Cricetulus griseus: one gene and its partner. The protein of the gene in region 2 interacts with the protein of the main gene of each other region in a biochemical or structural test. Links are inferred from orthologs where the notes say so. Each region holds a gene or a part of one and is shown on either strand. Other genes may lie near its edges.

The links.
Region 1: the proteins of Ehd1 (region 2) and Snap29 form a complex in vitro, tested with the Homo sapiens proteins (2 studies listed by BioGRID). The link is inferred for Cricetulus griseus from reciprocal best matches to the Homo sapiens genes EHD1 and SNAP29.

The regions. Positions count from the first base shown.
Region 1 is NC_048597.1:71,895,077-71,898,889, forward strand, and holds part of Snap29 (synaptosomal-associated protein 29), read right to left. Parts: intron 619-3,813; coding exon 422-618; intron 1-421. UniProt on the Homo sapiens protein: SNAREs, soluble N-ethylmaleimide-sensitive factor-attachment protein receptors, are essential proteins for fusion of cellular membranes.
Region 2 is NC_048596.1:53,077,202-53,081,497, forward strand, and holds the start of Ehd1 (EH domain-containing protein 1), read right to left. Parts: upstream 3,013-4,296; 5' UTR 2,900-3,012; coding exon 2,496-2,899; intron 1-2,495. UniProt on the Homo sapiens protein: ATP- and membrane-binding protein that controls membrane reorganization/tubulation upon ATP hydrolysis. In vitro causes vesiculation of endocytic membranes. Acts in early endocytic membrane fusion and membrane trafficking of recycling endosomes.

The DNA of each region.
Region 1 (3,813 bases), on a different chromosome or scaffold from region 2:
ATAAAGCAAAAATGTCCTGAGGTATGAATGAAGGTCACTGATTTTAACAAATACCCAATTCTTGTATATACATTTTTAATGTATATAGTATTCTGCCTGCATGTGTGCCTGCAGGCCAGAAGAGGGCACTAGAGTCACCATATGGTTGCTGGTAATTGAACGCAGGTCCTCTGGAAGAGCAGCCAGTGCTCTTTTTTATTTTATTTTATTTTATTTTATTTTATTTTATTTTATTTTATTTTATCTTATTTGTTATGTATACAGTATTCTGCCTGCATGTGTCTCTTCACGCCAGAAGAGGGCACCAGGTCTCATTACAGATGGTTGTGAGTCACCATGTGGTTGCCAGGAATTGAACTCAGGACCTTTGGAACCTGTTTCTGTTGTTTTTATAGGTCCAGACTGTGGATACTATACTCACCTGCTGTTGGGCTGCGGGGCAATGCTGCCATTTTGTTCAGGTGGAGTCTCTACTGGTTTGGATTTGAAGTAGTTGATAAATCCTCCAAATACACTCTTAATGCTATTGATATGTTTCTGGCTCATCTTCAAATCCTGATCCATCTTGTCTACCATCTTCTCCGTGTGTTCTAGGACTCCTCGCTGCCGGACCAGCTCCTGCAGAAGGCAAGAAGCAGTGGCATCATATCATTCCCCCAATTTCAAATCATAGCAAATGAAAGTCTGGGGCTAGGAATGTAGCTCAATTGGGTAGAGCGCTTATCTGGCATGCACAAAATCCTGGGGGGGATCCTTAGCACTCCATCAACCAGGCATAGTCACGCATACCTGTAATCACACAAACTGGGAGGTGGAGGCAGGAGGATTAACTTAATGTTATATTTCGCTATAGAGTGATTTTGAGGCAAGCTTGGGGGCCAGGTGAGACCCAGTCTTAAAAAACAGTCTAGGTGGGCTGGTGTGACTTCTAGGCAGGTCTACGCTTTGTCTGGTTTCCAACAGGGCCAGGGATGCTTCTGTCCTTTTCTAAACGGTTAGCATACAAAGTAACAGGCTTCCTTGTAATATTCCCCACCCCAGACTTCTAGGCCAACCAAAGCTACATAGAGAGACCTTGTTTAAAAAAAAAAAAAAGGTGGAAGTAGAAGCAGACACCCACAACTAATCACTGAACTGAACTGGAATCCAGATGCAGACAAGGACTAGTGAAGAGCAAAAGGGTCCAGACCAGGCTGGTGAAACCCACAGAAACAGCTGACCTGAACATCGGGGAACTCTTGCTTCCCAGTCTGATAGTAGTTCAGTACTTATCCCTAGCATAGGTGTGGACTTTGGGAGCCCATTCCACATAGAGGAATACTCCCTGAGCCAAGACACACTCGGGTGGGCCTAGGCCCTATCCCAAAGGATATGATAGACTCTGATGATACCCTATGGGAGGCTTCACCATCCAGGGGGAGCAGAAAGGATATGTGATAGGTAGGGTTTTAGTTGGGAGGGGTGGTAGGGGAGGATGGGAGGGAGAAGGGAACTGGGATTGTCATGTAAAACAATCTTGTTTCTAATTCAAATAAAAAATCTTCAAAGACAAAAAAAGATTAAAATTATTTACTTATTATTTTGGCTGAGGAATGGGGATCACATGTGAGGTCAGACAATGACTTGAGAGAGGTCACTTCTCTCCTTTTACTGTATAGGTCCTGAGAATGGAACTCAGAATTGATTCAGCCTACCGGTCCATCTTTATGCCATTTTTTTTTCCTTTTGGTTTTTTGAGACAAGGTTTCTCTGTGTAACAGCTATGGCTTTCCTGTAACTCCCTCTGGTGGTACGTGCCACCATCTCGCATCCATGCCATTTTCATACACACTTTTGATTGACTTCCCTGCTCTCCTTCGTCCCTACCGTACCCTGAAGCTCCCCCACCCCATTCCTCCTTCCACTTAGACATTACAAGTTCCAAGATCCTCCCCACCTATTTTAAAGCCACACTCCCAAACTTATGGGCCTTTCAAGTTTCATGGACTCTGCCTACACTTGTTCCCACTTAAATGGACATGTTTTACATGTTGCATGGTGGTATACACTTTAACCCCAGCACTCAGGAGGCAGAGGCAAGCAGATCTCTGAATCGAGGTCAGCCTAGTCCACAGAGAGAGTTTCAGGATATTCAGAGCTACATAGACAGAGCCTGTCTCAAAAACAAAAACAAACACACAAACAACAAAACAACCAATCAAACAAGGTGGGGGGGGGAGAGGGAGAGAAGAAAAAGGAAACCAGGATTTGTTTATGAATAAGTGAGAACATGGAGATGTTTGTCTTTCTGAGCCTGGATTACCACACTTAATGTAATACTTTCTAATTCCATATTATTTTCCTACAAATTTCATAAATTCTCTATGGTTGAATAAAATTTCACTATGAATATGTACCATATTTTCATGTTTCATTTATCCATTAGAATTTTTTTAGATATATTTTATGCATATGAGTGTTTTGCCTGAATGTATGTATGTGCACCACATATGTGCCTGTTGCCTATACAGGTCAGAGAAGGGCATCAGATCCCCTGGAACTGGAATTATGGATGGCTATGAGCTACCATATACATGCTGGGAACTGAACCTGGGTCTTCTACAAGAGGAACAAGTACTCTTAACTACTAAACAACCTCTTCAGTCTCTACACACATCCAGGCCAGTTCCATGCCTTTGCTATTTTGAAAATAAACATGGAAGCCTTTGGATATACACCCAGGAACATACAGCTAGACCACATTCTATTTCTAGGTTGTGTGGAGGGTCTCCACACGGACCCCATGGTGGCTACAGCACTTAGTTACACTCCCAACACAGTGAATGGTGCTCCTCTCCCACATCTTGCCAGCATTTGTTGTCGTCCGTCTTTATGATGATAGCCATTCTGATTTCTGAATCTCAAAGTAGTTTTAATCTACACTTCTGCTGATGCCTAAGATATTGAAGTCTGAGCTAGATGGACAGCTTGATGGATAAGAACATTGCTCTTGGGCTGGAGAGATGGCTCAGAGGTTAAGACCACTGACTGTTCTTCCAGAGGTCATGAGTTCAATTCCCAGCAACCACATGGGGGCTCACAGTCATCTGTGAGAGGAGATCTGGTACCTCTTCTGGTGTGCAAGCATATATGCAGGCAGAACACTGTATACATAATAAATAAATAAATCTAAAAAAAAAAAAAAGAACATTGCTCTTGCCGAAGACCAGAGTTCAATTCTCAGAACCCATGTTGAGTGGCTTACAACAATCTGTAACTCCTGTTCCAGAATTATCTCTGATGCCTCTGAGGGCCCCTGCACTCATGTGCACATACCCACACAGAGATACACACATACACATAATTAAAAATTAATATTGAAGATATTGAAGACTTTTCTTTGTTTTGAGACAGGATCTCACTATGTAGCTCGGCTGGCCTAGAAACAGGCTATATAGATCAGGCTGGTCTCAAATTCAGAGATTTTTAAAAAATCTTTAATTTTGGTTGTGTGTGTGTGTGTGTGTGTGTGTGTATACATAACCGTAGGTGCTCACTGAGACAGGTGTCAGATCCCCTGGAGCTGAAGTTATAGATGTCTATGAACAGTCTGATACAGTGCTGGGAACCAAACTCAGGTCTGCTACAAGAGCAACACATGCTCTTGCCTTTAACCACTGAGCCACCTCCACAGTTTTTATAAGGCTCTCCCTCCTGGGGATTTAATTAGGGATGTCATGCATGCTGGGCAAGCATGCTACTATCAAACTGTATCTTCATTTTTTGTCTGATAAGATGTAGGTAATTATTTCAGGGTCCTGTTTTGTTTTTTTT
Region 2 (4,296 bases):
ACAAGAGCTAGTTCCAGGACAGCCTCCAAAGCCACAGAGAAACCCTGTCTTGAAAAACTAATAAATAAATAAATAAATACCTCTCTATTATGAGCAAAGAAAATACAGACCCATTGTCTGCCAGAGACAGGCTCCAAACTGCCCTGCCTACAGTGGGCAGCACTCAGGCAGATGAAGTGTCTCCTGTGGCCCCACACTCCCACAGGCTGGGGGACAATGTGAAAGGTACTGTTTCCAAATGCATCAGACCCTACTGCTGTAAGTCACTGCTTGCCAGTCCTGAGTTTCTTCTTGCTGGGAATAAATTCCTATACTCAATGGAGAGAGAGTGACAAGGAAAATTAAATTAAAAAAAAAAAAAAAAAAAAAAAAAAGGAGTGGAAGTGGAGCTGGCTCTGAGAAGTAACACACACAAAAGGGCCCCAAAGGAGCATCGGCAGGGCCTGTTAAGTGTACAGCAAGAAAGGCAGGGGGCAGTACAAATGCTTCCCTTGGCAACCAGGACAGAGAATTCAGTTCTTAGGACAAGTGGGTGGGTCCAGTTATGCAAGGAGGAGCATTCACAAACCACTCGGGATTCCTTCATGTCTGCCTCCATCTGTTCCTCTCACTATCTCTGAGGAGCACTCAGGAGAAAAAGGCTAGCAAGTCAAGTTCATGACTCAGTGAGTCCCTTTAAGAGTGCCAGGCAAAGCTGTATCAGCCAGAGAAAAGCCCCCTTTGTTGTGCCCTCCCTGGCCAGAGGCACCATGGTCTGAACATCCTGACACAGCTCCGGTCTTGGACTGCACCAGCATTTTTAGAGACCCTCTGGAATTGGGGTGGTTACAAGAAGGAAATATAAGTATAGTTCTTAGATGCCATGGACCCCAAGTTACCAAAGTGCCTGTCCTTTGCCAAGGGTTCCTCTGTTGTTCCTTTATGGGAGCAGTAGCAGTGAGTGCACAAAGCACAAAGAACAGACCATCTGACAGTTCAGCAGGGCCTGGGTTTCGTGAGGTATTGAGCTGGGAGTGGACGGGGTGCAAGATCGCTCTGCTCTTCAGCTCTGCATTTCCAAAGGTGGGAAACTGAGCAGGTGCCAAGTTCCTTGTTTGAAAGATCTGCCCTCACAATGAGGTAAAGACATAGGCTAAAGTAGTTGGAACAGTGAAGGCTCACAGGAGAAGGCTCCTATCACTCCTGAAGCATAGACGTAATGCATGAATGAACTCCTTGGCCCAGTAGCCAAACTTCTCACCAGACCAATGGCTCCCATCAACAGCCAATGCCCTACCTACAGGTACAGCAAAGCCCTAGGGAAAGGCTCCATTCAGGCTAAGGGTACCAGAGCATTGTACTCAACAGGCCTGTCAAGCAAACACCATCATCAGAAAACAAGACAAGCTGAAATTGCCTAGAAGGGACAAACAGACAACATTAAAGGTCAGTTCCGTGCAGGAGGCAGGCCTGGCAGCTTGCTCTAGAACAAGCTGGCCCGCCCTGTCCTGCTGGACAGTGTCTGTAGAGGAATGTGCTCATATAGGGCGGAGACCTGGAAAGCAGAATTCAGATTCTTTCCTAGGCTGTTCCCCCAGGCTGAATGCAGACTTCGAAAGGCATGTAGAGTCACTCCTTGAAAGAGGGAGCACGGAGGGCAGGCTCTGTGAGTCCTGTCATGCCTTTTGTGGGTGAAGGCTAGGATGCCAGACTACCTCCTTTACACAAGTGATCCTGGGTGTTAGAGCCCTTCAGACAGGCAGGTCACTGGGATCCATACATAGCGTCCTAAGGAGCTAAATCTTGCCTCACCCCTTCAACTGGTGAAACTGAGACTCAAGTGAGGCACATAAACACCTATCAACTCTATAGTGAAATGCAGGAGTCTGTCATTTCAGGGTCTCAGGGTTACCACCCCCTGAAATCTCTTGAGGCAGCACTGACTCATTAAATCGTCTCATGTACCCCTGGCTGGCCAGGAATTCACTTCAGTGCTGCTGTGGGGAGAGATGTTGAGACTCTGTCCTCCCCTGCCTTCAATGGGGGCTGCCTCCCACCGGTCCCCTGGGGATATGAAGCAGAGAGTGAGACACACCAGCGAAGGGAACATCTAAGTCTCAGGTTTTCCCATGACACTTAAAAAGCATACTCCAGCGAAGGAGGGCGACTGATGAGAATGAATTGGGTGTCTCCAGAATGAGGAACAAGAAAGGGAGGACAGCAAGGGCTCATCTTCCTACGGCGGCCCCGGGAGCTCTATGAGAAGGTCTGGGGTCAGCGGCGGTAAGGGGAAAGAGTTAAATTGATGACCTGGAAGATTCTGGGGTTGACAGAAGCCAGAAGAGTGGACGATGCCTATTACCCGACACCTGGGTGGTCACTGGGTCGCAACCAGGCCACAGTCCCTGGGAGTGGTCGCCTGGGGTCTGGCGGGGGCTCTTGGAGACAAAGGCCATCGGGGCAAAGGCTGCGGGGGTCCACGGTGGTCCTCGCGCCTGGAAAGAAGGGGTAGGTACCTGTTGAGGAAGGCGTTGCCGAAGGCGTTGAGCTTGCGGAAGGGGCGCCGCGGGTCGACGACCAGCGCGTTGCCCGGCACCACGCCCTCGGTGGGGCCGTGCATGACCGCGATGAAGGAGTCGGTGGTGGGCTCCGGCCCGATGCGCATCCCCGGGAAGTCCTGCTCGATCAGGTGGCGGATGAAGGTGGTCTTGCCGGTGCTGTACTGGCCGACCAGGAGCACCATGGGCTTGTTGTCGAAGTCAGCGTCCTCCAGCGCGGGCGAGTGGAACTCGTGGAAGCGATAGTGCTCCTCCAGAGGCAGCAGCTTCTGCGCGTACAGCTGCCGCAGCCCCTCGGCCACCGTCTGGAAGAGCTCCGGCTCCTTCTTGCGGCGGGCATCCTTGCTCACCCAGCTGAACATGCTGCCGGAGACCGAGCTGGCTGCTGAGGGACGGAGCGGCGGCTGAGCGGGACGAGGGCTCGCGGCCGAGGAGGGGCCGGCCGGCCGGCGGAGGGCAGCGGGGCAGGGGGCGGGGCGCGGCCCACACTGCGCAGGCGCAGGCTCGCGGACCGGCGCGCAGATCACCAGAGCGCCCTCTGCCGAGAGCCGCGCGAGCCGCGCGGAGCGGCCCCTTTATAGGCCGGAGCCCGGCGCTCGGGCCGCCTCAGGGCCCGCCGGGGAGGGGGCGGGGAAAAGAGTCCCCCAGGTCCTGCCCTACTCGCGTGCCACGTCTTCCCCTGCTTCCCATTGGCTGATTTCAAATCTCGCGAGCCCGTGGCTGCGGTGCCCTGGCAACCGCACCTGTTTTGCTCAGCCCCTCGAGGAGTGGCTAGCGGAAGTCCTGCTGTTGGCCGAGCCAGAGTCTAGCACCGAGATGTACTTAGCCTGAGCATCCTCCAGCATCGGTGGACTCCAGGACACCCCAGACACCTCGGCTGTGCTCCCCAACTATAGTGCTTCCACCCACTCGGAACCCCAAAAGCATCGGGAGCCCGGGCGCTGCCTCGTCTCCCGTTTCCCTACCTCACACACACTCCTCACCCCTTAAGTCTTTTAGCGCCTCTGGGGAGAGAGAGACAGGACAGCGGGAATAGGGAAAGCTGAGGCAGTAGAGGACAACGGGAAGAGAAAAATCGGTAAGGAAGGAGACGGAATGCGGTGAGAGAGGGACCCAGCAAAGGACACAAATAATATGACCTGGCGGGGAGAGGCCAAGGTCTCACCGAAGAGGTTCTACCCTCAGAATGGGGTAAAGAAGTTGAGGCTTTCTGGCTGCTTGAATTTTGAGGAAGTGAAATCGGAAATTCCCCTTGTGAGGAAGAGGGGACATGTTGGGCAACAATGAAATGTTGTGGGAACTTAGGGGAAATCAAAAGCCCAAAAACTTCCGCTTTCCTGTCAGGGACACCACCAGTCCCATCTTTTGTTCGGTTCTCTTGAGTCCCAACCTCCTTACCAGTGGGTGGCTGTCCCACGGGCCTCATGTCCCCACCATCATCCCTGGCCACACCTAGGCCCCCTTGGCTGTCTCTGCTGGTGAGAATTTTCAGTGGGTGATGTCAGAGATTTGGGGACTGTGATTGTTAGGTAACCAGTATCAGGTCACCTAAGTGGAAGGAGCATCTAAGGGCTGTTGGAGAAGTCTAAAATGAACCTGGGGAGTCAGTACTGGTTGATACACACCTCTGGTCTCAGCTGTTTGGTGAGCTGAGGTTGGAGGATTACTTGAGCCCAACAATATGAGACCAGCAGGGGCAACAGATACTGCCTTAAAAAAAAAAAAAAAAAAAAAAAAAAAAAGGACAAAATATTTATTG